4 linked regions of the Astyanax mexicanus genome follow. The protein of the gene in region 2 purifies or fractionates together with the protein of the main gene of each other region. This does not show direct contact. Links are inferred from orthologs where the notes say so. Each region holds a gene or a part of one and is shown on either strand. Other genes may lie near its edges. The genes, in order: atxn2, fam98a, nufip2 and rtraf.

Region 1 (6,986 bases), on a different chromosome or scaffold from region 2:
ACTAACTAACTAACTTACATCTTACAATCGCCTAAAAGTTGATGACTGAACAGCTCCTTCCTACCTGCACTCACTCCTGAAGGCTTACGCTACCTCCCGGCCGCTGCGCTCCTCCAATGAACGTCGCCTCGCTTTACCAAACAAACTTTCACACAAAGCAATCCAGACTGTTCTCATACAGAGTTCCCCAAATGGTGGAACAAACTACCTTCCACTACCAGATCAGGAGAATCTCTCACTATCTTTAATAAACTCCTGAAGACAGAGCTCTTCAAAGAGCACTTACTCCCCTAACACCTCTAACTAACTACCTTCTACTACCAGATCAGGAGAATCTCTCGCTATCTTTAATAAACTCCTGAAGACTGAGCTCTTCAAAGAGCACTTACTCTCTTAACACCTCTAACACACTAACTACTTCTAACCTCATTTCCTTCTTCCCCTCCTTCACTCCTCTATCCCATTATTTACCTTTGACCTTCTTTAGGCCCTATTTAAAGATGTTTTTTACCTTTAACTTCTATTACTCTATGTACATCATTATTATAAGTCGCTTTGGACAAAAGCGTCTGCCAAATGTAATGTAAATACTTGCTTGCTTACTTATCCATTTATTCATCTCTATGTCCAATACAATGAGGCGTATCAGTGGGTCATAAATAAAAATATGTTTGTATGCAAGAATATGTAAAGAAGTATATTTGGCTGATTCATACATTATTGTTAGAAATTTGCCTTTTGCCGTTAGACCACTTCTGTAAGGTGATGAGGCATGAACTCTCTGGTTCTGGAGACTTTCTCCTTCCCTGCATGTTTTGGTGCTCCCTTAGTCTGAAACATCTGATTCAAAATATTAGCTTGCTATCAAAAGTCAAAATCTAAATGTAGGTTTGCTATATCCAAAGGGACACCTGAACTTCCAAATATTACATTTTTTGCTCCTAAAAGATGTAATTATTCACTCAAGCACAGGTAGTATGAGACAAAAATTCAATTAAATGAAAAAAGTTGACATTTAATTTTCATTAACACACTTGTATTTCATGGTGAAATCCAAAATTAAAAGCTGAATAGAAAAAGGAACACTTCACTTTCGCTTTATAAGCACATAATAAGTGTCAAAATGAAAATGCAATATGCACTTATCTTTTTCTTTTCAACTGTGATGAAAAATAAAGGCAAACCGTCAGGTTAGGATTCAGCTTCAAGTGGCAAAAAAAGAAATAAACTTGGAAAGCGCCACCTTGTGCTGATTTAAGCTGGGCATATGTAAATATATGTTAATTAGCAGTGGGCAGTGCCTCCTGATGCAGCATTTCATATATGGGAGTTCATGGAGTATGTGTTATTAGGAACTGCTAGCTAGTGAAATCATGATCTCTGTGGATTTGTTGTGAAATGACTGTATACTGATAGGGGATGGAGGTCTAAAACGCTTAATGTAAAAAGCCTTAACATGTTTTCTTATCACTGAAACCTCTCATAAGGAAAAAGTTTAACGTGGCTTAATATACTAAAACAACAAGTAAATAAGCAATATGTGGTGCTTTTCACTTTCATTTTTATTTTGACATTTATTATGCTACTCATAAAAAAAAACAAGCCAAAGTAAAGTTTGAGGTTTTTCTATTAACCTTTTCATTTTGGATTTGACCATGAAATACCAATATGTTCATTAATGTTAATGAAAATAAAATGTCACTAACTTTTTTATTTAATCCTCCACAGCAAAGTGTTGCCTCAGGTAACAAGCCAAACTTTTGTTTATTACACCATATCAATTACACCACCGCTTTGCCTTATTTAAATTTTTTTTAAACAATGTTGCAATACATATCTACGTCCAATACAATGAGACGTACAGGTGGGCCAAACAAAAAAAATATGTATGCAATAATTTTTTTCATTCTTGTTGTAAACTTACTTAAACAGTGTTTTTGTTGGGCAACGTTATGCAAATAGACCACTTTTATTAAATTAATCATGATAAAGCAGTGGTTCACATTTTCTCACGAAAAATGCCACCGTACATCACACAAATGCTTATTAAAAATGATACAACTTATCAGACTCGCTCCAGTGACTGGATCAAGTGGGAAAATCTGCTTTTAGCTACAGTGCAGCACCAGCGAGCTGGAATTCACTACGGGAAACACTAAAGCTTAGCTTAATGGTGTCACAAAATAATAAACTCCTATTCTGAAACCACCTTCATTTTTGTTACCTTTGATTTTCTTACCTATGATTGATAAATTCCTACTAAATTCTTATTTTTATTTTATTTGTTTTATATCTTATTTCAAAATATCTTGATTGATTATATGATTAAAAAATACAATTCATGACATAGAGGGTTACATTTTATTTTTAGCACAGACTACCCGTGCTTGAGTGAATAATTAAATTGCAAATAAGTTTTATTTAATGTTATTTTTAATTTTCACACGTTTGGACAAATGAATGTTAAAAAGAGCATTTGCATTTTATTCTTTTCAATTCTGTTTTATTTTTGGCTGGATCAATCTCCCATCGGATTGACAGTTCTGACAGTGTCAGTGAATCAGTGTCAGCGAATTGGTTTCATTAAATCAGTATCAGTGAAACGGTGTCAGTGAAACGGTGTCAGTGAGTCGGTGTCAGTGAGTCGGTGTAAGTGAAACGGTGTCAGTGAGTCGGTGTCAGTGAAACGGTGTCAGTGAGTCGGTGTCAGCGAATTGGTGTCATTAAATCGGTATCAGTGAAACGGTGTCAGTGAGTCGGTGTCAGTGAAACGGTGTCAGTGAGTCGGTGTCAGTGAAACGGTGTCAGTGAAACGGTGTCAGTGAAATGGTGTCAGTGAATCGTGTCAGCGAATTGGTGTCATTAAATCGGTATCAGTGAAACGGTGTCAGTGAATCAGTATCAGTGAATCGGTATCAGTGAAACGATGTCAGTGAGTCGGTGTCAGTGAAACGGTGTCAGTGAGTCGGTATCAGTGAGTCAGTGTCAGTGAAACGGTGTCAGCGAATTGGTGTCATTAAATCGGTATCAGTGAAACGGTGTCAGTGAATCAGTATCAGTGAATCGGTATCAGTGAAACATGTCAGTGAGTCAGTGTCAGTGAAACGGTGTCAGTGAGTCGGTGTCAGTAAATCGTATCAGTGAGTCTGTGTCAGTAAGTCGCTGTCAGTGAATCGGTATCACTGAATCGGTATCAGTGAAACGGTGTCAGTGAGTCGGTGTCAGTAAGTCGGTATCACTGAATCGGTATCAGTGAAACGGTGTCAGTGAGTCGGTGTCAGTTAGTCGGTGTCAGTGAATCGGTATCAGTGAATCGGTATCAGTGAAACGGTGTCAGTGAGTCGGTGTCAGTAAGTCTGTGTCAGTGAATCGGTGTCAGTGAGTCGGTGTCAGTGAGTCGGTGTCAGTGAATTGGTGTCAGAGAGTCGGTGTCAGTGAAACGGTGTCAGTGAGTCGGTGTCAGTAAGTCGGTGTCAGTGAATCGGTGTCAGTGAATCGGTGTCAGCGAGTCAGTGTCCCTGAATCAGTGTGAGTAAATCGGTGTCAGTGAATCGGTGTCAGTAAAAAAGGTGTTAGTGAATAGGTGTCAGTGAGTCGGTGTCAGTGAATCAGAGAAAGAGATTCGGTGTCAGTGATTGAGTGTCAGTGAATCGGTGTCAGTGAATGAGTATCAGTGAATCGGTGTCAATGAATCGGTGTCAGTGCTGTTCAGGGTCTCTCAGAAGCCGGCTGAGCTCACGTGGCTGCCTCAGCACTACTCTGCTCCGCTCCCACGGTGATCTGTTAACTTCCTGAAAATAGTGCGCCACGTTTGGTCGCACATCTATCAAAACTCGGAAAAGACAACAAAATCCCGCAAACCTGAGCACGACCTGCGGCTCAGGGGAGGGAACTGCGCTTATTTTTTAAGTGTTTCTTCAGTGTCAATCTGAATTTTAAGAGTAGATAACTGCACGGCTGGTGTGTGTGTGTGTGTGTGTGTGTATGTGTGTATCCCTCCGCTACATTTTGTGTCTTTTCAGACTGTTTAGGTCTTTGAGAGCAGCGGGGCGCCTCAGTGTCAGCCGATACTACAGCTCAGAGATACAGACTCAGAGGGGTTTACTAGCTAAGCTACATTAATTCAGAGCGCATACAGCTGGAGAAAATCAACAGCCTGCAGCAGAAGCTCTCCTTCAGACAGTGTTTCTGTTATAAGGAGGAAAAGACACGCTAGCTAAGCTAAGCTCGCTGATTTAGCTCTGGAGTAGAGGCTGTAGCTGAAGGACTCAGTGCGGCTAGGCTAGGCTAGTTAGCTAGTAGGCTAACATTAGCTGTCATTCGTTAGCTAAGCTAGTTAGCCGTTAGCTCCTCTGTCAATAAGTCAGGCAGGATTTCAGCGTGTCGTGCTCTGCTGTTGTCGGCAGCGCGTAGGACAGATTTCCCTCCAAACACTTAAAGCTAGAAAACTCCGCTTAAAGCTGTCGTTTATGGGATAACCATGTCAATGAAGCAGGCCGGTGGTAATCGCAAACCCGGCGGGATCAACAGCGGGGCTGCTGCGGCCTCCGGAGCTGCGGGCTTCGGACGGCAGAGTTTGGGAAGGTGGGTGACAGCCTGCGTTTCTGTGTGACAGTTCTGAATACATGAACACCGCGACCCTCACACACACTTACAGCCCTCAGCGTGGTGTTAAAACACTGCAGCCCGCGGTACTCCGCTGTTCAGCGGCCGAGAAAGCGCTGTTAGCGGGCTAGCTTAGCTGCTGGTAGTGGGGTTATAGGCCGGAGTGAGCCAGGCACGGGCAGGACAGAGAGGTGTTTATTAGGCCGGGTTTAGACAGCGGGACGGGGGTTCACACACTCGCCTACTAAAATGTGCTGCACCCACTGTAGTTAGCTGTACACATCCATCCAATTAACTAACTAACTAACTAGCCACTGAAATAATCTGCCACCTAATTATTATTCATTATTAATTCAACTGCATAGCCGTTATTGAGATTTCATTTCAATATTTGTAGATACGGTCTGTGTTTTGTTTTCATTCTCCTTCACATAACTTCTGTTAAATCTACTATTACCTCTAGATAATGATTTGGTATCTCACAAACTGATTTAGAACCTTAACAAAATGGTTTAGTATCTTTAAGTAATTATTTAGTATCTCAAAATAATGATTTAGTATCTCCTAGTAATTATTTAGTATCACAAATAATGATTTAGTTGTTTTTTAATTAGATCATCTGAAAAACGACTTAGTCTGTTAAAATAATTATTTGGTATCTCATAATGAAAAAGCTTCTCGCAAAAACAACATAGTGTCTCAATAAGATCGCATAACAGAAATATGAATTAGTATCTCAAAAATATGAGAGCATCTAAAAACGACTTAGTGTCTCATAATAATGAGGAAGAATCTAAAATAATGATTTAGTATATCAAATAAGGTTTTTATAAACATAAAAAAATGATGTATCTCAAAGTAATGAGACTCGATCACATTATAATTTGAATTACATTTTGTAGTAATAAATTGTACTTATAGATGTTTTGTAGATATCGGCAATTGAAATATTTACTAGTAAAAATGTAGTAATGGATAAGAGGGAGTGAGATTACATGTAAATCAAGTGTAGTATATGACTAGTCAAAATAAAGTAAATGTCATTTTGGTAACATGACTAAACCTTTGAGTTTGCGTTTGAATTTGGTGTGATTTTAAGCTAAAATGGCTTGCTGTAGTTTATTGTCTGGTACAGTGTAGATGTTGCTTGTTCTGTGGCTGGGTAATTTGTACAGGGTTCTGCTTTGCTGCAGGTTCGGCAGGCATGGATTTTAAGTTTGATGAAAAAAAGTGTCAAGTCAGCGCAGTGTGTCTGTGAGCTAATGGCTTTTCTTGCCACATTCCATGTGAACAAGCTTCATGTCAGTAGGTGCAGCTGGTAAATACAGTTGTCATTTTTGTAATTGATTTAAATCCTTTTGTTTTCTTTTCTGCTTTATGAAAATTTATTATGTGTCCCTCAACATCTATTTTTGATGAGGATAACACTGATTGATTTGTTTTTAAACTTAGGAGACCTATCAGGATGTAAATCTTGCCTAATAAGCACATGAGAAGACCAATCAGGATGCTCTCACAGTCAGGCTCATCTGTCATTTATTTGATTGCTCCAAGAGTGCTCCAAGATTTGTGAACGTCATAGATCTAATACAAGTATGCATATGCTAGTCCCAGGATATGTGGGGTGCCTGTTAGTATAATATTAGTTAATAACATAAGTAAACTAATACAGATCAGAAGGTATCTGACTATGTTATGATTTACTAAACCATTGTGTTGTTTTGGCCTAGCAATTTGTGTGTGTGTGTATGATGAGAACCTTGCAGCACCTTCAGGATTCACAGTTAACCAGAATGATATATAACGTAACCTTTTATTAAAGTTTTTTTTGGTTAAAATCTTCATGTAATGGGTTAAAGTCCTCTCTATATAATAAGTGACACTTCACTGTGGGGCACTGTGTATATGGCTACATAACCCTTAACTCATTCCTTATTAAGGAATGAAGGGTGCAGAATGCAACTTTCAGCATTTTCTGTGACTCCTCTGCTGAAATACCTATCAAGTGCTTTTGAGGTAACACTGACATGAAAAAGTTTACTTGTGTCTCTGTGTAAAGGTTTAAAAATACTAATTTGTGCCTAATTTATTAATTTGGGAATTAGTAATGTAAAAATCTCCCTTTATCGAAGTGTTAAGAGAAGTGCTAATAATTTACCATAAGTACCATAAGTTACCATGTAGTTTAAAAATGATTCTTGTCACAGTAATATGGTAATTTAAATATTTAATTTCTAAATCATAAATTTAAATGTTCATTTGTTTGAAGGTGGTAACTGAGTAAGACAGTTGCACTGTTGGTGGTATTCAGAAACTCAGAAATCTGCAGTGGTTTATGTGTTTTTTAAGATGATGAAAATTATTTGCAATGCTTCTACAGC
Region 2 (7,905 bases):
AACCGTGAGCACTGGTCACAAAATTCCGACGGTGACAGAAAACGGTGTAACACCGCAGCGCCGACGGCGCTAGCTAAAATAACTTAAGGCAGCTAGCTTAGCTAAACACCTGAACTTATGAATAATGCTACTGTTTCTGGAAACTGTGAAATGCCATGCACAAATATAAACCAAAACTGTATAATTTCTGCCTGTGGCAGGTTTAAAACCTTTGGTAGACAGCCTTAAGTCTTTTTAAAGACACCCGCGGAGACCCTGATGTAAACGGTAACTTACTGTGTGACCCTGTTGACATAGTGCTCCTGGATGTTTGCGCTATAGTGCTCCTTTTGCACATATGGCAGAGGACCACATTGTTGCCCTTTTGCGTGAAATGCTCCCAAACTTTAGATGCCCGCTGGCGTTTTTTTGTAGCCGTTTTCACTACCGCAGTTCTACAGCGGGGGTGTTGTGCCGATTCTGTCCGCTAAGCGGGAGTCAGATTCAGCAGAGAGTCGGATTCGGCACAAGCGCGGCTGCACCTCGCGGTCCGCGGTGTCAGTTGTAAGCGCTCGCGCTAGCCGCAAAATACGGCGGAAAACACTGAGGGAGCTGCAGAATTATGTCTGTGTCTCTCTCTCTCTCTGTGTGTGTGTGTGTCTCTCTCTCTCTCTCTCTCTCTCGCACGTGAACTCCTCCGCGTTTGACTTGCAGAACTGTGTTTAGCTGTTCTTAAAAATCATTTTAATTAAATAATAGTTCTATGCTTCTATGTTACCGTGTTAATTAACATATTTACGACGCGCCGACGCACGTTATGCAAATCGATGTATTTTCGTAATCGATGACGTCGATTATGTCGACGCGTCGCCCCAGCCCTAGTATGTTATAGTAAGTTAAGGTTCACTTACCTCACTTCTAGACTCTGCAGATCCGTCTGCTGGACCGACCATCCCTGAGGAGGCTGACTGTGCTGGAACTGGTTTGGAGGTGGTACCTGGGCAGGCAACATTTTGTACATACAGAGGTAAGCAGCTGAGAACCACAACAGAATGAAGATTAATAAAAGCATGCTTTTAAACGTAGCCACTGTCTTTTTTTAATAGTGCAGCAGGGTAGAGCATTTTATGGCAAGACCCAGTTTCTAGTCATATCACACCTTCAATTATGTACAACTATTTAATTCTGCCTGAGACACAACTGCAAGCTAAACTCCAACCAAAATTCTCCAAACTTATATGGTGTCCAGTGCAGTAGTACAGGTTCTGTCGATGTAAACATGAGGGAAAATTAATTTTTTTTTCAGTGTACCCTGATTTCACAGGGTAACATTTGCTGAACTGAGGTGATGCTTAGTGTCGCTCAGTGCTTAGTGGAGGGGCGTAAGGTCTATAACATCCACCAGCTACGTATGTGCTGCCATCTTTCCGAAGTGTAAGAGGATTCCAGTGGTCACCAGAAAAGCTCTACTGAACTCCATGCCCAAGAGATGGAAAATAACAGTTTTAAATTAACACTGTTATACAAGCTGTACACTGACTGGTTTACATTGTATCAAAGTGTTGAATCTTCAGTGTTGTCCCTTAAAAATATATAATAAAATATTTGCAAACGTGAGGGGTGCACTCATGTATGTGAGATACTGTAGCTAGATAGATAGATGGATAGATAGATATATAAGCAGATAGATAGATAGGTAGATAGATATACAAGTAGATATCTATGTTTTTACCTCGTAATACGGGTCTCTGGTCGCCGCTCCGCTGAAGCTCTCGGGACCGGATCCCCGGTACGGAGGCGGGGGCCGCGGCGGAGCTCCCCGGTACGGTGGGGGGAACGGCGGCCTGTTATACGGGTCTGAAAAGGGAGGTTGTCCGCCGCCGCCGGGGGGAAACGGGGGTCTCTGGTGAAAGGGCGGCCGGTGGTAGTTCGGGTTTGGGGGTCTGGAATACATCTCCGTACAGCTCGCCTAGATAAAATAACCACTCCGCTGTTTCTGTGGGAGATTAGCTGCAGCTAAACTAACGCTAGGCTAGGCTAAACTAAGCTAAGTCTCCACTGTAACTTAATTCAGGCATTTAGTCCTCACCAGCAAACTAACGCTAAACTATCCCAGCAGCGCTTTTTACTCCACTATCAGACTTTAGCTCCATAATTTATCTTAAAGAAGTTAATGAGTGTGTTAATGAATGAGTCTGTGTTGTGATTCTGCTCACCTGCAGGTAATGTAGATCACAGCACTGAATTACTCAGCTACACGGGCTGCGTCCCAAATCCACACTCCTCGCGCACTCTGTAGTGCACCAGAGTTTCTGAAGGCCACGGAGATTTGATACAGATGGTAATAAATATTATGTTTGGTCAGAGTACGATTTTTGTTTAATTTTACTGTTTACGTACTGTTTAAGACTAAATGCTATAATAGAAAGTTGAGTGTAAAACGTAATTATTTCATGTTTTCCATTTGATATGGCAAAGAAATGTGGGATGTGTTTTCTTAATTATTTTCATTTTTCTATGTTTTTTTCTTCATTTTTGTATCTTGTAACAAGAATAAGTATGTTGGACAAGTTAGCAATCACTAAGCAACACCATAGCAACCACTAAGCAAACACCATAGCAACGACCAGGCATACCATAGCAACCACCTTGCAACACCATGGCAAGGTGCCAAGATACACGAAAACTGTGAATGAAAACCAGAGTTATTCCACCAAATATTGATTTCTGAACTCTTAAAATATGAACTTTTCTTTGCATTGCTCTAAATGACAATATTTTTATTGGAATTTGGAGAAAAATGTTGTCCGTACTTTATAGAACAAACCAACAATGTTCATTTTACTCAAACATATATGTATAAATAGCAAATTCAGAGAAACCGAATCAGAAACTAAAGTTGTCCCTCCTTTTTCCAGAGCTGTATGTACAAAGAAAAAGTTCACTATAGGGCAGTAGGGTGTAGGGAGTAGGGGGCAGTTTGGGATTGACCCACTTACTATCGCCCTCTGCTTTCTGAAAGTGGAACGCACAAGCTGGCGAGTGCTGACTGTTAAGTTGCCCACTAGACGCTAGGCTCTGTTTTGTCGATTTTGCGTGTTGTCTTCTCCTCTTCTTATAGAGGTTTGCATGTAAATAATCCAGGCAAAGTCTCTGTCTCATACAAAAAGATCTTTTCCAACAGTGTAAATTTCTCAGGCTGTAAAAACCGGCATGTTGGCGACTAGCAACTGAAGAGGACCATTAGGACCTGGTTAAAGAGCCGGTTTAAGGAGAAACTGGCCACTTCCTTTGTCCCTACTACTGACTGTTAACCGATAGAGGGAGCCCACGAGTTAGTCAAGAATGAATGGGTGCGAATGAAGCTAAACGGCTAAAAACTCAGATTAAAATAGTAAGCATCTACGTGTCCGCATTATTCCTTTAATTTTAGAAAGATAACTATAGTTTTTCGATATAAACACAAAGAAAAGTTAGTAGTATGTTTCAATGTTTTTATATTATACGAGATTTTGGAAGTAAAGGTGCTAGCGTTGCTGCTACTGTGAGCTGTATGGTTGGTGAGCTGATGCTGCTGGAGATACAGCTAGAATATTCTTAAAAGGCTCATTTAATACACATAAATGAACTATCATCATTATTTCATAATAGGCCAGATTTGGGCAGGTTTATGTAATTAATAAAACACACACACACATACAGGTTATACTAATTACAAATTACTCATTACCATTTCGTAATGACTATTTATTTACTGCCAGCTTATGTGCAATAACATTGGTCACTGCTTAACATAAGACATACGTACTGGAAAATCATGCTGTCTCTAATCATATTTTTTTTAGATCAATGTTGTTAAGTTCTCTTTTATTTTTTGTACATATACATTACCGGCCAAACGTTTTAGAACACCCATATTTTCTGCTGTCCAGTAGCATTGCTGTGTGGCTCAGACAAGCTGTTTTTTATTGATTTTCTCATCTGAGCAATAACTTTTTATTGTATTTCACAAGAAATTTATGAAAGAAGGATTTTATCTGAGCCTTGGATGGTTATACAGACAACTGTGTTATACAATACTCAACAATTTAGAACAATTTAGTAAGCTTACTGAAGAAGGGGAAACTATTCGAGAAGCGTAAGTCTCTCTGAAAGGAGTAGCTGAAAAATATGATGTGGAAAATATGATGGAAAGGATCTATAATTATTCTATGTGCTTTTTTAAGGATGCCCTGAATCAAACATCATGTTGACAAATCTGTGTGCTTAGTTATGACAGCGTTTTAGAGCCACTTAAAAAAAAAACAAAACAAAAAAAAAAAACATTTGATTCAGTGAATAAAGTCATAATTTTACAAGAATAAATTCGTAAAACGAATGTCCGTGCTTAATAAGTATGTTAGACAAGTTAGCAATCACTAAGCAACACCATAGCAACCACTAAGCAAACACCATAGCTGTTACAGTGTGGAGCTTCGTAAAACGAATGTCCGTGCTTCTTAAACTGGCAGCCCAAAGTAGTTAGCCTACTTTTAACTCAAAATAGTATAACTTTGTTCTCATTATTGTAACGACTTTAATCTTGTAATATTACAACTCTATTATCGAAATATTATAACTTTAATTTAAAAATATTGATATCCTAATATTATGACTTTATTCTTGTAATATTACGACTTTAATCTCGTAATATTCTCCTAACATTGCTACTTTTTCTCAAAATGTAATATTAATATACTATATACTCGTAATATTACGATTTTATTCTTTAAAAAACTGCGTCGTACTCAGTAACCATGCTTTTGAACATTTGTTGATTCTGTATTTAAAAACAGATTAAACATTTACAAACTGATTTTGCTGAGTTGTCCCATAAGAACCAGTTCATAGAGCTCCCTGAAGACGCTGTTAAATGGGTGGTCTCCTCTCTATACGCTCTCTGGCGGTTATGCCAACCCAGCAGCCAGGCGCCCGGTCCTGTCAGTCTCGGTAAAGAGGCGGTTTGTGATTTTTGGGGAGCGCTGCGTCGCTTCGACTGAATGGAAGTCGATATTCTGGATTCTCTGGAGGACCTGGGGTGAGCAGGGAGCGCCGATAAGCCCCGGGTTTAATACTGGATTCAGGTTTAACAGCTACAGGTCGCAGATTTAGCCTCGCGGCCCCGGTTAGCGTCCAGCGTGCTGAGCTAACTCCTGCAGATCAGCTCGGTTTTACCGGTTTTCTGGAAGATTCGCTATGTGTTAGTGCGGGGTTTAGAATGTTTTTATTAAATAAACACCTGTAAAACGCTCCGGCGGGAGATTTAGGCTTTAACAGCGTTTAAATAATTGTATTTTTATAGTTTTGCTGAAGCTAAAGTTGGCTAGCTATGCTTAATTCTCCAGTCCACCTTAAAATGCGCAGCTGTTACAGTGTGGAGCTTCATGTGACTGCATGGGAGTGTTGCAGAATTTAAGGTGGACTGAAACTCGAAACGCGAAACTGAAGGACTGACTGACTGCTATAAATAGGGAGGAACCGATGTGGGAATTCTGGGCTGATACCAATATCCGATATTATACATTTATTATATTAATAAAAATAATAAACTAATTATCTAATAAAATTAATCCTAAATGAGATTAATATCAATTAATTTAATTTAAAAGTGGATGTTCAAACAAACTGCTGCTCAGATTAACTTATATTAAACACCTCACAGACTTAAGGAGATATAATAAAGGAACGATGTACAGCTAAATATACAATGTTATCTAATGTAATCTTATATACTTAAAGTTCCACCACTTATTTTGTCCAGTTTTACTTACAACATAAATTTGCTGTTCTAGTGTAATTCTAGTGTAAGTCATTCATTCTTAAGTAGGAAATATGCTAAATAGAGTTATTTTCTCCTACTTTAAGGAAAACCAAGTATTAGCCTGCCCCGAGCTGAATTTATGTTGTAAAATTGGGGCAATGTAGCTTAACGATATATATATATATATATATATATATATATATATATATATATATATATATATATATATATATATATATATATATATGTATATATGTATATATGTATATGTATATATATGTATATGTATATATATGTATATGTATATATATATATATGTATATATGTATATATGTATGTATATATATATGTATATATATATATATATGTATATATATATATATATATATATATATGTATATGTATATATATATATGTATATATATATATATATGTATATATATATATATATATATATATATATATATATATATATATATATATATATATATATATAAACATGTAGCTGATGTTCCAGTGTGATTTTGAAGGACTTTTTCATGTACATAAGATTACATTAAGTTACTTACATTTAAGTTATTAAATGTAATCTTATATACACAATCTTCCACATCTTACCTAGTTTTACTTACATGAATTTGCTGTTCTAGTGTAATTCATTCATTCTTAACTTCAGCCTCGTATTAATTTTAAAGTTGCACGGCCAGTGTCTGACAGTATTAGTACCACTCTCAGCTGGACTTTGTACTTTTCCAGAACATATAAAATATTGGCAATACTGGCCAAATGTCGATGTAATTCTGATACCATCGTGCACCCCTAGTAATCTAGACACCTCTAGTTTACAAAAGTGCCCAAACGCAGCAGATTACATATCTACTCACTAAATATCAGAACGCATCACATTTAAACATCTCCTTTGCGTTTGAATGGTATTGTAAATCCTATGTTCAGCTGTTTCTTTCATTTTAAAGCTGTGAAGCTCATGGTAGAAAATAATTAATCTGAAAATTAATAATCAAGTTAGTCGACTACCAGTCATTAATCATTAGTTGCAGTCCTAATGTTCATTATGAGTCATTGTGGGTGTGTGTTTGCTGATGTTTGTGTGTGTGTTCGTACTGCACCTATAAAGGCAGAAGCCACAGATGGAATGCTTTTGTGTTCAAAAGTATTTTAAAAGTGTTTCTCTATCTGTGATCACTAAGCCCTTATCAAGCATAATAAAATAAATAAACACTTAAAGTAAATCACTCTGTGTGTAATACATTTATTTAATACGAATTTCGTTCATTTTGAACTGAACTACTGAAATAAAGTAACTTTTCAATAAAATTTAATTTTGCACTAGTATCTAAAAGTTTGCCTTTGTTTCTTTGCAGGTATCAGGGTCCCCTGTTGGAAGATGGCTCTCTGCAAATGGCCCTTAGTGGTGGAGCTGCTTCACCCGAGTTTACTAAGCTGTGTGCCTGGCTCGTCTCTGAGCTCAAACTCTACTGCAGGCTGGAGGAGAATGTGCACGCCACCAACTGTGAGTCATTGATATTAGGGGTGTGCTGTATTGTATCGTACACAATGATATCACCAACATTTTTGGAAATCGTTTTCACAAAATATCCTGCACCCTGTGTAAGATACATCAGCAATAAACAGAATACACAATAAAATAAATTGCTGTACCAGTAAAGTTCCATTTCCTAAGCTAAGAAGTGCAAAAGCACTGCTCCATTAAAATAGCAATCCACCAAAGTCAGAGCGCACCTGGCTCTTAAAGGGAATGGCAAGTGACACACTGATGGGTTTATTTCGCATTATGCTCAAAAAACACCCGTGATTAATAAAAAGAACTAGTTCATGCCTTTTGCGCTTTTTGAGCCATGCAAGGCATACTTTTCCCGTTGTTATGAGAGCAAAGACACTTTGACTTGCCCTAAATCAAGCTGCACAGTGCGCTGTTTGCCTATAGCTCACTACAGTTGGGCACCAAGTCTTGCAGATATAATTTAATTGATTAATGGCATCTTTTTCTGTACTAACACACTAACAATGCTTCAGGGAACTGTAAACGCTGCTTAAAGGGATAGTTCGGGATTTTTGACATGAATCTGTATGGCATCAACATGACC
Region 3 (7,068 bases), on a different chromosome or scaffold from region 2:
GTCAACTAATCTATTTTTTTTTCTAAATTAGTCGATTATTCAGTGATTATTTCTGCCATGATCGCTACCTCTAAAAAACAAAGAAACAGTTCAACATAAGATATAAAAAGTCACGTATACGTCTTCTGATTCTTCAGCTCACAGATGCCTTGTGCTGATTGACATTACCCTTTAGAGTGATGTGGAGAGAGCACGGCCAATTGTGCCCTCTCGGCTTTGGTAGACAATGGCAAGCTAATTTGTACCAGCAATCTCCTGATCATTGTATCAGGGATTAGCCTGCTGGACCACTCAGAGCCAAAAAAAGACTAATATTTAGTAAGTAAATATGTAATCTGTTGTGTTTGAGCACTTTCAGAGACACAGACTATGTTCATTTCAAACTATGTGAGTGAGCATTTTCCCCTCTCCAATTGCACTTTTGTCTTAATTAATGACATTATATTAAGATTGGCGAACCATGAGTGCCAGTGGGGTCTTTTAATCTAAAAGTAGTTGATGAAGAAAGAGTCTTGTTACAAATCTGACATAAAATAATTTAAGAAATCATGGTAGTTTTACTTTTAATACTTAAGTGCCTTTAAAGGCAAATACTTTTGTACTTTTTACTCAAGTGTAGGTAAAAAAAAAAAAAAAGGACTTCTGCCTTCGTAATATTTTACCTTGGTGTCCGTACTTTACCTCAAGTGAGCCCATGGACTTTCTGTTGCACAGAGGGGTATCAAGCCCCTAATATTGACCTGTGGAGCAGTGAAATGAACTGTGCTCTCTGAAATGCTGAAGCTCTATCCAGTACTTTTGGGCATTGTGTCCACCATTGCCCAAGTGCCCTCATCATCAGTTAGCTGAAAGCCAGCTAACGTTAGTCAGCCAGCCTAATAGATAACAATTTCTAACAAACGTTACATAGGAAGTACTCTGATAATAAAATGAGAGCACTTTATTCATTACACAGCTAAATAGACAGATAGAAATGTAAGCTTACAACAGTTTGGGCATTAGGTCAACTTTCACTCAGCTCCCAGTGCCAAAGACAGCTGAAGTTAGTTAACCTGACGTAGCCAGTTAGCTAAATTGGCTGGATAGCTAGCTTAGCAATCCTAGCAGCAGTTAATAGTCGCACTTCCAAGCTAACAGCAACTGTTCACGCCCCAAACTATTATTTCAACGAAATAACGTAAATTTTTTGACCGACTTTATGTTAACAGAGCTGGTAATATTGTTAAGGTAAGCTAACAAACCCTAAAAACAGGCCTGCTCACATGACTGCAGCGGCCCTGTTTGCTAAGCTAGTTAGCTTTGCTGGTTAGCAAACCGCTAGCTTGCTATAACTAGCTGTCGCTGGCCTTAAAGGTGGGACAGCTGTTTTCTAAGACATTTTGTGTATTAATTATATTTGTATGTGGTTTATTTTTGGTTTATTGAAGAGTTTAGACTAAACATGAAAGTTTTGTGCCTGTTTTTCTTTCTGCCCAACAGCTCACTTCATATATCCAACTAGCTAAAGCTACAGTGAGGTAGCCGAAGCCGGCGTTGTGCCAATTTGTGCAACGTTGTCAAAACGTGCTACGGTAGTGTACAAGTAAAGCTGACTAGCTAACTAAATAAAACAGCTGACCGCTTAGGATATTTCGATAAAAAAGCTGAAAGCATCATATCAGAGAACGTTACCACAAAAAGCTGTTAAAGGCTAAGCTAGCTTGTTAACTAGATCTTTGGGGAGGTATTTGGATGGCCTAAATTACTTTAAATATAACCTAAGATAGATAACTAATTGATGTGAAGATTAGTTTTCGTTTAGATAGCCTTTTACACTTTTGTAACATTCAAACATCGCCAAGGCAGTGAGAAAACTGTAAAATGCACTCGAGGAAAACAGAATCATCATAAAACGATACAGATGAGTATACGCATGCGTAGAATTGCTAAGTAGCACATGTCAATAGGTAGCACAACTCGACACGACACCGAGTTTAGGTTTAGTGATTAAGTTTAGTCTGTTTTAAGTAACATTAATTTTAGAGACAAGTTTATTTATTGTCTTTGCAAGCACACGACTGCTTTTTCAGTAATAGTATTTTGCATGTTTGCATAAAATGTATGAGCCACATAGTTTACCTATACATGCCAGTCAAATCAATACTAAAAATCTAAAAATATTGAGTTTGCGCATGCGTAAAGCTGATAAGTACCACATACCATTGGGTAGCACAACTCAGCAGAACACCGGGTTTAGGTTTGGTGTTGCTGAGGAACGAAGCTAAAGCAATGAGATCGTCAAAATTCACCTTTCTCTTGATACAGATATAAAATATATTGTATTAAAAGTACTTTCCACATTATAACCATCGTGCAGAAATAGATGTGAGGCTGATCAGTGGAGAAATGGCTGTGTTTTGGGCTGAAGCCGGCGCACAAGGTCAATGTCCACACTTTACTAGCCATACAGTTAGATAGCTAGGTTAGCTTGCTATAGGCGGCTATCAAAGCTGCCAAATGTCGACGGCAGTCATCAATCAAACGCCAAAACACAGCTGATCTGACCGTCCCGCCACTCTTACACCAGCACAACACCAAGCAGGAGAGGCTACGTGTCGATATTTGAAGTTTAATGAAGTTATCAGAAGCTGAGAAGAGAGCTAAGCTATTTTAACCCAACAGCCGGCTAACAGGCAGCTAGCTGTGGTGAGATGGACAGCACAGCATTACACTACACTACATTAGCGAGCTAGTTACATTCCACCAACCTGTTTTCTTCGTCTGCGTTTCCTCGTCCTGGAGCTGACAGCAGCTTTGATCATTGTTCACCGAGAATTTCGCCCGTCCTGACCCATTCTCTGCTCCAGGACTCAGATATCTCGCAGTCTTCGCCCCCACGCAGGGCCGATCCTCCATTTAAAGAGCGCAGGGAGCGAGTGAGTGAACGCGCCCGGCCGGAGGGGGGGTGGCTGTAGTGCAGCGGGGCAGAAGTGCAGACGCCGCCGATGCCCAATCCAGCTCTGCCTGGGCGGCGTTTCAGCCTCAGAAACACACGCAAATATGTGCAAGACTGTATCAGGAAAACTGCGAAAACTACGGAGAGCCTGCAGTACCAGAAAAGAAAAAATATATATTTAAACACAGTTAATGAATCATATAAAATCATTCTGTCACTTTAGAAATACTTTCCATGACTATATTATATCATTCCACCGGTGTAAAAAAATACTTTACTTAATTTGATACATCGTTCCCTTGATTTGATAAATTGTTCCACTAGTTAAATAAATCATGTCCTTATTCAGTAGCAAATCGTATTCTCATTTTTTATAAGTTTTAAAAGTCTCTTAATAAATCCGTCAATTGCTTTAATCTCAAATTCTTCCTTTATCTTAATAAACAGTTCCTTGAATTAATTTGTTTCCTCAGTTTAAAAATACTCCCTAACTATAAGAAATTATTCCACCAGTGTACAATACACTTTGCTTAATTTAATAAATCATCCCCTCAGTTTGATAAATTATTCCATTCTTTAAATAAATTCTTTCCATGTTTGATATAAAATTTAATAAACGTTTATTAAATTAAGTTTATTAATTCACTTTATTAAAAAATATTCCCTCAGTTTAATAAAGCCTTCACTTTGATTAGATAAATTGTTCTCAGTTTAATATGTATTAATTTGTTAATAAATTATATTAATTTAATAACTTTTTCCCTCAAAATAATAAATTATATGCTTCGTTTAATAAATGGTTCCCTCAGTGGTCTATATTCATTCTTTGATATAATAAATTGTTTCCAGTGTTTATAATTTTTTTGCATAATTAAATAAATCCTATCCAGTAACTTAAATTAAATTGTTTCCTCAGTTTAAAACAATTTCCATACTGCAACTATAATAAAGCATTCAATTAGTGTACAAAATAATTTACTTGATTTAATAAATTGTTACCTCAGTTACATAAATTGTTTCATTCATTAAATACATTCTTTTCCATGATTTAAAAATAATTCCCTCAGTTTTTATTAGTTGTTATCTCAGTTTAATTAATCATTCCCTTGCTTTGATATCAAATTATTCCTTCAGGTTAATAAACTGCTCCTAAAATGTATTAAATCATTTACTCAGTTTAATAAAGCCTTAACACTTTTTAAAAAAGATGCACATCACATGTTGTACATGAGGTGGAATTGAAATTGTAATCTCATGGTGCAGTTCCACTCAAAAAACAATTGTTATGTAAGATAATACAATTAATTAAGAGTAAAATATTAAATGAAGTGTCAGTGCAGTGTGTTGGCTAGGTGGTGTTTAAGAGTCGTACAGCTTCTGGAAAGAAGCTGTTTCTCAGTCTGGTTGTTTTGCAGATTGTTCTTTTCCTGCATCTGGAGGTGTAGATGTCCTTGGTGCTGGAGAGGCTGACTGACAACAGTCTTCTGTGTGGCCTTTACCACCCTCTGCAGAGCTTTCCTGTCTGCAGCAGAGCTGCTTCCATGCCACACGTTGATGCTGGAGCACACATTGCTCTCCCACCACACATCTGTAGAAGGAGGTGAGGACTGCGTTCCCGAGTCCAGCTTGTCTCAGCCTCCTGAGGAAGTTGAGCCACTGATGCTGACCTCTTCTGAAGTCCACAATCATCTCCTTCGTCTTCTTTACATTGATGCCGAGGTTGTTCTCTCTGCACCAACCTTCAGGTGTGCCTCGATATGACACAATAAGACAGCATGGATGGAGAGGTGAGCAGTCATATGTGAGCAGTGTGAACAGGAGGGGACTCAACACGCAGCCCTGAGGGGAGCCAGCGCTGAGGATCATGATGAGGGAGGAGATGTTGTGAATCCTTACAGACTGCAGCCTGTTGGTCAGGAAGTCTAGGACCCAGTTTCAGAGGGAAGTGCTCAGATCATGTGAGGAGAATTTATTGATCAGTCTGAGCAATCATTTTGTTGAAAGTGGATGTAAAGTCCACAAACAGTATACGGACATAGGAATCCTTCTGCTCCAGGTGGGTGAGGGCAATGTGGACCACGGAGGAAAAGGCATCCTCTGTGGATCAATTCTTCCTGGAAGCATATTGGCTTCCAAGATATCCCTATAGGAAACGATCCCTAGTGTCATTGATTGTGTCTTTGATGTGGGTCTGAATCGTTTTTTCAAAGCACTTTGTGAATATCGGCGTAAGGACTATTGGCCGGTAATCATTCAGACCTGTCACTGCGGAGCTCTTGGGGAGCTGGATGATGGTGGCAGTCTTCAGGCAAGTGGGGACAGCTGCCTGGATGAGGGAGACATTAAAAATGTCCGCCAGAACCTCTGAGAGCTGATCCCTTAGCACCCGTCTGGGGACGTTGTCCGGTCCAGCAGCCAATATTCTGCACTGTTAGCCTGGATAAGTTGAATTTACTTAAAGAATTGAGGAATGGGGTACGAAAACTTGAGTTAACTAAGCATAAACTAAAACTTCAAGTTATTACAACGAAAGAGGAAGTTGATTTATTTCTAAGGTAGCCCAGGGGGAATCACTACACACTGATGGTGAGTGTCAGAAACTGTTGGACACACCCAGTATGCAAATAGATGTGACAAAGTTGAATGTATATGTGCCGCAAAATAGTTGAGTATTGTTTAGAAATATTCAATTTTTTGTAAAATAGACTTAAATAATTTGAGTTTAAACAACGTATAGGTTTACAGTGTATATTCTATATATATATATATATATATAAATATATATATATATATATATATATATATATATATATACATATATATATATATATATATATATATATATATATATATATATATATATATATATATATTCTATATTCTTTCTTTGAAATATTAAATAATTCCCAGAGTTTAATGAATTAATTTCTTAATTAAATCCTATCCCCAATTTAGTACCACACAAGTCCATAGGTTTAATCAGTTGTTCCCTCAATTTAATAAATCATTCTGTAGGTTAAAGCTGGTGTCCATAAGTTTTGGGATTTAGGGCCCTCTCTGGTGAGAATGGGTAATTACACTGAGCATGCGGAAGAATCATTTTAAAATAGACAGCTGTGATGCGATCTTTTAAACAAATTATTCTGTCACTTTTTCCACTCAGTAATGCTTCTGCTTTCAGTTTAGAATCAAAATAATACGAACTGCCACTTTAAATCGTCCAATCATATTTTTTATGTAATATATTGTTTCCTCATTTTTACAGATGGACTGTGAATGAATATGACGTGATGTTTAGAATATTTCGAGTTTATTACTAAATTCATTACTAAACATTACAGTATTAAATTAAAAAGAGACTACAAAAAACTTATTTTCACAATTGTTTGTTTACTGCTACTGTAGATTTTATTTTTCTTCCATGTTTTTGTATGAACTCATTTTGAAATGGAGCTTCAAGACTCAAGTCTTTTTAAAATAACAACAGATTTTGTTACTTTTGCACTAAATTATTTTACCGATTTTTAGTTAGAATCGCTAAACATTTGTCACCTAGATTATCCAGGTGATCAAATCAGCTGCATCTGACAAAAATGAAAAATTGGGTAAATAATAATAGCAATGTATTATCTTTTGCTTCCATTTTTGTATGGTGTCAATATTTTATTAAGGTGAAAATAACATAGTGTGGCCACAAGACAATATATTTAAACCAAAATATACTATATTGAGGCCACACAATAATATATTTAGGCCATATTTTGCGTTGATATACAGAGACCAGAAGATAATATATATGTGTATATTAGGACCATGATATAATTTATACAGGCCATTTGATTATGTATTAGGGGTAGAGGCTAATATATTAAGTATAATTCATTATATATTAAGTATAATTAATTATATATTCAGTATAAATAATTTAGGCCACAAGATGCACTGTGGCCATGAGATAATATATCGAGGTCACAATATATTATAAATTGAGACCATGGAAAATATGTAGAGGCCATAAAATGATACGTTAAGTCAATTAAATAAATAATAGAGGCCACAAATTAGTATGTTGAGGGCATATTTTGTGGCCACTCTGTGCCAAAACTTATCTCCAAGACTCCACAGTGAACTTT
Region 4 (6,953 bases), about 31 Mb from region 2:
GAGAGCACAGTTGGCCCTGCTCTCTCTGGGTGGGTACAGTAGATGGCACTCTTTCCCCCTCATCACTCCAAGAGTGATGTGGATCAGCACAAGGCTGCGTCTGTGAGCTGATGTATCAGAACCGAGTCACTGTGCTTTCCTCCGAGCGTTAGCGCTGTGATGCTACTCGGCGATGCTGCATCAGCAACAGTTCAAAAACAGGAGGAGTCTGACTTCACATGTATCGGAAGAGGCATGTACTAGTCTTCTTAACCCTCCCCCTGGTGTTGGGGCATCACTAGTGATAGGGGATATACAGCTGAGTAGCAGCTAAATGGGTGGGACAATTGGTCTGATAAATTGGGAAAAAATGGGGAACAATAAAAAACAAAAAAAAACTGAGATATCAATTGTGTAGTCTACTTCTAATTAATATAAATGTACATAATGCTACATGTTGCATGTTTTTTTCAAGAATCTGCATTTTGTCTGCTTTTCACAACATTGTAATAAACATTTTATATCACAATATATATATTATATATTTATCATATATATATATATCATATATATATTATCTCCCAGCCCTAGTTATTCACCTTAGAATTTTATTTTAACTTATGAATCTGTAGTTATTCTCAAATTAAGTAATGATAAATGAAAAGCTTAGTTTTGTCTGTAATTTTATAGTAATGAAAAGATTTTGTCTGTGTCAAAACATTGCAATAAACATTTTATATCACAATATATAAATATATATTATACATTAACCATATTCCCCAGCCCTAGTTATTTATCTTAGATTTTTATTTTAACTTATGAATCTGGAGTTATTCACAAATTAAGTAATTTTAACCATAAATGAAAAGCCTAGTTTGGGCTTTTATTTTAGGTTAAAAAAAATTGTCTGGGTGTCAAATCAATGTTATAAACATTGTATAATGTAAAAACGTCTTTAAATATCAGTATATAGATTATATATTTACCATATCTCCCACCTTTAGTTATTAGAGGAATATGATCAAGTTAAAAAATAGGCTTTACATTTATGATTCAAACTACTAATATAATAAATAATAATAAACATCAGAACATAACTATAACATGTCTAACGTAGAGTTTCAGTTCTATAATACATATATTCACCAGCATAAAATAATCACTATATAATATATATTTAGCATATATATATATAATCTCCCAGCTATAGTTATTAGAGTAATATTATCAAGTTCCAAAAAAAATTGTTACCAAAAATAAAAGCCAAAAATAGGCTTTTTATTCGTTTTATTTACGATTCAAACTACTATAATAAATAATAATACATATCAGAACATACCCAACATAGAGTTTCAGTTCTATAATCAATATATGTATATACATCAGCATAAATTTACAGCAGTAAACTGCAGTAAAAACAATAACTTTAGATAAATGAATGTGAATAGAGCTCTGGAAGAATAAAAAATGTCAGTATTAATATTATACAGCTACATATAGTACATTTATAACTAGAGATTGGAACTCCAGATCCAGCTAGTAATAATCCAGACCAGGATTTTGCTGCGCTGCCCGGGCGGATCTGTGTATTGCGGAGCTGCAGCAGAGCCGCCCACGCGGTTAGAAGAAAATCCCGGCATGGATATTTACAGTGTGGGCCTGGATTACCTATCTAACCAAAACGGACCATTTTAGTCAGCACAGACTTACCGGAAAAACTGCAGATTACTCTCCGCAGAGTATCTGTTAACGCAGCCCAGAGCAGAGCACGACATGACTGCCCAAACCTCCAAATTACAGCTAATAAATAATAATAATAATCTAGTTTTATCAGCTAACTAATAAAGTTAGGTTAATAAACACAGAGAGCTAAAGGATTCTGCGGGCGGCCCGGTCCAAACAAAAGGCTACAAATATCACTCAAAATCCGCATTTAGCACATAATAGCGGATAAATACATGTAACATATAATAAGTAATTATTTCTAAAATTATAAATAAATTAGTAAATATAAATAGGCGTATTAGCTAGCTAACTATAGTTGACTGCTGCGAGCTAGCTTAGCTAAGCTATTTTTTTTTTGTTCAGTTAAACCTTTATTTTGAAAAAAGTTTTTTTTAATGCCGACCGGAATTTGGCTCTAGTTAGATTCTTTTTTTTATTTTATTACCAACTTAATATGGAAATATAGCGACAAAAAAGACAGGGATCATAAATAAGTACATACAAACGAAGGCTACAGAGTAAATAATAAATAAAAGAATGGAGCACAAGTTAAAATATAAAAGTATTTTTAATACAACATTTTCTTTTTAATAATAATAATAATAATAATAATAATAATAATAATAATAATAATAATAATAATACATTATTATTATTATTATTATATTTATTATTATCATTATTCACTGAATATGTAAATATACAAACAAGTCAGGGAGCATAAGTGTACAAGGACTGTGATATTAAAATTTAAATAAATATTTTTTTATCATCTTTCTATTCTTTTTAAACCCAAATCATGTGTAAACAGAGTGAAAGAGAGTGTTATTATTTATTCCCATTTACAACAATGTATATATATATATATATATATATATATATATATATATATATATATATATATATATATATATATGATATTTACTCAAAATAATAACCAGACTAACTAAATTTAAAGCTGGTCAATTACTTGAATTTCTTGCCTCTTAATATGTTTGAGACATAGACTGTATGTAAGCATGGACATTTATTTACGTTTTTTTATTTTTTACTTCCGTTTCACCCTTTTTTTCTTTTATTTGTTAGCAACATACATATCAAAACAATATACAATAATACAAACTCTTGTAGAGGATATCAGCTACAATTCAGAAGCTAGGGGGAGCATACACAAACATACAGAATAGACGAGCAAGGTAATAAAATGATAATCTTAGAACAAAAGGTTACTAGAGATCTTACGCCGTTTTGAAGCCAAAATATGGCCGATATGGAAGCTGCCATCTTGCGTGCGCTTGCGCAGTACAGGCAAATTGGAGCCAGACCTGTGGGGGGCGGGGCCATGTGACTGCCCAAACTCCGCCATCCCCTTTTTTATTTTTTTGTTTCACAGTCATTTTCACCAAAAAAGTTACTTAACTCAGCTAACCTGAGTTGGTTAACCCAATTAACTATTTATATATATTTATATAGTAGTTTACTCCCTACAGTTAGGGAGAAGAACAAAGTATGAATACTAATAAATTAATGGAGGGAAATGATCCACTTACCGAAAGAACTGCAGAGAATGTTTCTCTGAGGGTCTGTTACTACAGTTAACTGCTGAACATGCCATTGCTTTACTTTAGAAATGTAGTTTTTAACAGTAAAATCCGAATGTGAGAAAGATCTGACTGTGAGCTCCGCGACAGTGGCGGTGCGCGTTCACGCTCTCAGGCGACCTGTCAATCAAATTGCCCTCAGCTTGCCCTCCCCCTATCGCCACACCCCTTTAAATATAACGGAATAGCTCCTATAAAACGTATTAACTGTATAGAAAAACACTGGTGGTTATTAACACAGGAGGGGGGCTTGCAGAATGTACAGAACCCAACTAACAAAAAAAAATCCTGGATGTAAAATTACATTAATTTTAGATAAAGATTCCTCCATCTCTCATTCAGTTGAATGGAAATAGGCGGGGTTAAAAGTTGTACTGGAGCCAGCCACCAGAGGGCGCACTTTTCAACCCCTAAAAGAGAGATAAAAGCACCTAAATGCTTTTTCACAGAGTATTTTGGTATGTTTAATACTTTTAAGTTACTACACATTTTTATGTGTTCCTTCATAGTCTGGATCACTATTCATTGACTATGTATGAAATAAAATAAAAAAAAACACTTAATAAGAAGGTGTGTCCATGTTTTTATTTGAACTTTTATTTTGAAAATCATTTCCACGCCGACCGGAAGTTGGCTCTTGTTAGTGAATGTACTGTGTCAGTGCTGGATCTGGAGCAGCTCGTGCTGAGTATAAATATTAAATCACTGTTTTGAATTAAATCTGTGACTTTTTGTGAAGCAGCAGAATGTTCCGCAGGAAGCTCACGGCTTTAGACTATCATAATCCTGAGGGGTTTGACTGTAAAGGTGAGTCTTTTATTTCTATAATAAAAGCAGGGAACCGAGCCAGGAACGTGGAGACAGAGCTCAGAAATTACAAAATATAAAATAAAAAAATAGGGTTTATAAAAAACTGTCCAATTAGATAATATCCTATTATCCTGTTTTATTAATAAAAATATATTAATTTTAGGTTAAGCTATACATGTAGTGTGATTAGTTTTGTTGTCTGGGGTTAGGGCTGTATCTGGTATTGTAGGCCAGACAGACAGATATATAAAAATAACCTCACTGTATTAATATTATAGATATAGTTCTGGAAAACTATGCTTTGCTATTTATAGGTTTATGTTTGAGTAAAATGAACATTGTTGTTTTATTCTATAAACTACAGACAACATTTCTCCCAAATTCCAAATAAAAATATTGTCATTTAGAGCATTTATTTACAGAAAATGAGAAATGGCTGAAATAACAAACAAAAAAAGATGGAGAGCTTTCAGACCTCAAATAATGCAAAGAAAACAAGTTCATATTCATAATCCTGTTTTTAATCACATTTTTCATGCATCTTTGCATCATGTTCTCCTCCACCAGTTTTACACACTGCTTTTGGGTAACTTTATGCCTTTACTCCTGGTGCACAAATTCAATAAAATTTGGCAAAATCAAAGAAACTAAACTCCAGAGTGTGTGTATATATATATTGCTGTATAACTACCAGAGCAATCATACTGTACCAGTCTAAAGTATTTTTGTTTACTGAATAATTATGTGTTCCTTTATAGCTTTAATACAGTTTTTAAAAATTAAGAAAGATGTCAGACTTTTATTAATTTAAGAAAGTAAGAAAACACACTGAATGAGAGGTGGTGTGTACAAACGTTTCACCGTTACTGTGTAAAACATTGTTATTTATATTCATACAGTTAATTATTTAATGTGTGCTTTATTAATTTACCAGTTTGCTTACTTGTTGTTGGTTTTTCTCGTTTTCTCCAGATGAAACTGAGTTCAGGAATTTCATTGTTTGGCTGGAGGATCAGAAAATCAGACATTATAAAATCGAGGATCGCGGAAACCTGAGAAACATCCCGAGCTCTGAGTGGCCCAAGTACTATGAAAAGGTTATTTTTAAAGTCATACTTGAGTAAAAGTTTTTTTTCCTTTGTGCAAAATTTTAACAATAAATTAACAATATAAAGAGTAACTGGCGGATTAAAATAAATATCATAAAGTATAAAAAAAAAAAAGTAAATATATATAAATGCCAGTAATTGATTGAATGAAATTTAGTACGTACATGCACATCTTTGAGGTAATTCCTGTCGTTGCCTCACAATATAAAACAGTGATGTGGGTTGTTAATATTGTATTAATGGAAATGCAGCACTAAATAAATCAGGATGTCTAACAGCTTTATTTTAATCTTTAATATGTTTATTTTTCTGCAGTATCTGCAGGACGTGAACTGTCCCTTCAGTGCCCCGGAGAGGCAGGAGGCAGTGGACTGGTTGCTGGGTCTGGCTGTTCGGTTTGAATATGGTGATAACGGTACGAATCTCTAATAACGTGCTTTTTATTATTTTATTTTATTTATTATCATCACCAATCACCAATCATTCAACAGACACCTTCTAACCGCCTGTGCACAGATAGCCAGACAAATGGATTTATATTTAAACAAACAGACAGACAGCTGGGCAGACAGATTGTTAAACAGACACACAGTTTGTCAGATTGCTGGGTAGACAGACAGTTTGCTAGACAGACAGATAGGTGTCTTAAATGAATGCTACACACACAGTCAGTCAGTTTTACTGGATAAATAGTTTAATAGTAAGACAGACAGAAAAAAATGCAAGATAGTTAGTTAGACAGACAGAAAGACAAAATGCTAAATAGCCAAACAGACAAATTACTAGAGAGTAAGACAGACAGACAGAGAGATGAAATTCTAGATAGTCAGACAGCTAACAAGACAAATTACTAGACAGCCAGACAGACAAATACTAGATAGTCAGCCAATGAAACGACATGCTAGATAGTGAGACACACAGATTAATTGCTAGATGGACAGACAGGCAGACACATTACTAAATAGATAGACAGACAGATAAATTTCTAGATCGACCGACAGGCAGACAAATTGCTAGATAGTCAGAAAGGCAGACAAATTGCTTGATAGATAGACAGACAGACAGACAAACAAATTTCTAGATAGACAGACAGACATGCAGACAAATTGCTAGATAGTCAGACAGACAAATTGCTAGATAGTCAGACAGACAGACAGACAAATTGCTAGATAGTCAGACAGACAGACAAATTGCTAGATAGTCAGACAGACAGACAGACAAATTGCTAGATAGTCAGACAGTAAGATGAAATGCTAGATAGTCAGACAGACAGACAGACAGAAAGGCAACATGCTAGATAGTGAGACACAGATAAATTGCTAGACAGACAATTAGTTACATGGAAAGGTGATTTGGTCTGTTTGTCTGTGTGTCAGAGAATCACCATAAATATGAATTATGGTGAAAACGTCTTTAAACATTGTGTAATGTTTTTACTCACTGTCCTTCTGAAAGCACCATTGTTTGTATATAACATTTTTAGAATGTAATAAAATTGTGATCTCAGTTTACACAAATTCAGAGCTTTTATTTTATTTAAATGGATGTAAATGTATTTCAGAGAGTTTGAAACTAAATAGAGCTGAATGGCTCTGGCTTTGCATTAGCTTGCAAAATCTATAGTAGTGAGGACTGAGAAGACATTGATTGGTTGGATCACTAGATGGCAGTGTTGTTTTAGATATTGAGTCCCATGACTTTTGCCATGTCCCATTGAAGCTGAATGATG

The links.
Region 1: the proteins of fam98a (region 2) and atxn2 purify together in Homo sapiens (co-immunoprecipitation; 3 studies listed by BioGRID and IntAct, counting the BioPlex papers as one, with this or other methods). This does not show direct contact. The link is inferred for Astyanax mexicanus from reciprocal best matches to the Homo sapiens genes FAM98A and ATXN2.
Region 3: the proteins of fam98a (region 2) and nufip2 purify together in Homo sapiens (co-immunoprecipitation; 3 studies listed by BioGRID and IntAct, with this or other methods). This does not show direct contact. The link is inferred for Astyanax mexicanus from reciprocal best matches to the Homo sapiens genes FAM98A and NUFIP2.
Region 4: the proteins of fam98a (region 2) and rtraf purify together in Homo sapiens (affinity purification with mass spectrometry; 4 studies listed by BioGRID and IntAct, with this or other methods). This does not show direct contact. The link is inferred for Astyanax mexicanus from reciprocal best matches to the Homo sapiens genes FAM98A and RTRAF.

Annotation. Positions count from the first base shown.
Region 1 is NC_064429.1:14,080,412-14,087,397, forward strand, and holds the start of atxn2 (ataxin-2), read left to right. Parts: upstream 1-3,958; 5' UTR 3,959-4,480; coding exon 4,481-4,584; intron 4,585-6,986. UniProt on the Homo sapiens protein: Involved in EGFR trafficking, acting as negative regulator of endocytic EGFR internalization at the plasma membrane.
Region 2 is NC_064421.1:33,954,812-33,962,716, reverse strand, and holds the start of fam98a (protein FAM98A), read left to right. Parts: upstream 1-4,894; 5' UTR 4,895-5,018; coding exon 5,019-5,056; intron 5,057-7,161; coding exon 7,162-7,310; intron 7,311-7,905. Other genes in the region: si:ch211-195b21.5 (zinc finger protein 318), read right to left, coding at 891-976, 1,712-1,933. UniProt on the Homo sapiens protein: Positively stimulates PRMT1-induced protein arginine methylation. Involved in skeletal homeostasis. Positively regulates lysosome peripheral distribution and ruffled border formation in osteoclasts.
Region 3 is NC_064425.1:29,145,980-29,153,047, forward strand, and holds the start of nufip2 (nuclear fragile X mental retardation-interacting protein 2), read right to left. Parts: upstream 3,013-7,068; 5' UTR 2,896-3,012; coding exon 2,748-2,895; intron 1-2,747. UniProt on the Homo sapiens protein: Binds RNA.
Region 4 is NC_064421.1:2,872,793-2,879,745, forward strand, and holds the start of rtraf (RNA transcription, translation and transport factor protein), read left to right. Parts: upstream 1-3,931; 5' UTR 3,932-4,051; coding exon 4,052-4,112; intron 4,113-5,087; coding exon 5,088-5,212; intron 5,213-5,539; coding exon 5,540-5,639; intron 5,640-6,953. Other genes in the region: uncharacterized protein si:ch211-266o15.1, read right to left, coding at 1,690-1,754. UniProt on the Homo sapiens protein: RNA-binding protein involved in modulation of mRNA transcription by Polymerase II. Component of the tRNA-splicing ligase complex and is required for tRNA ligation.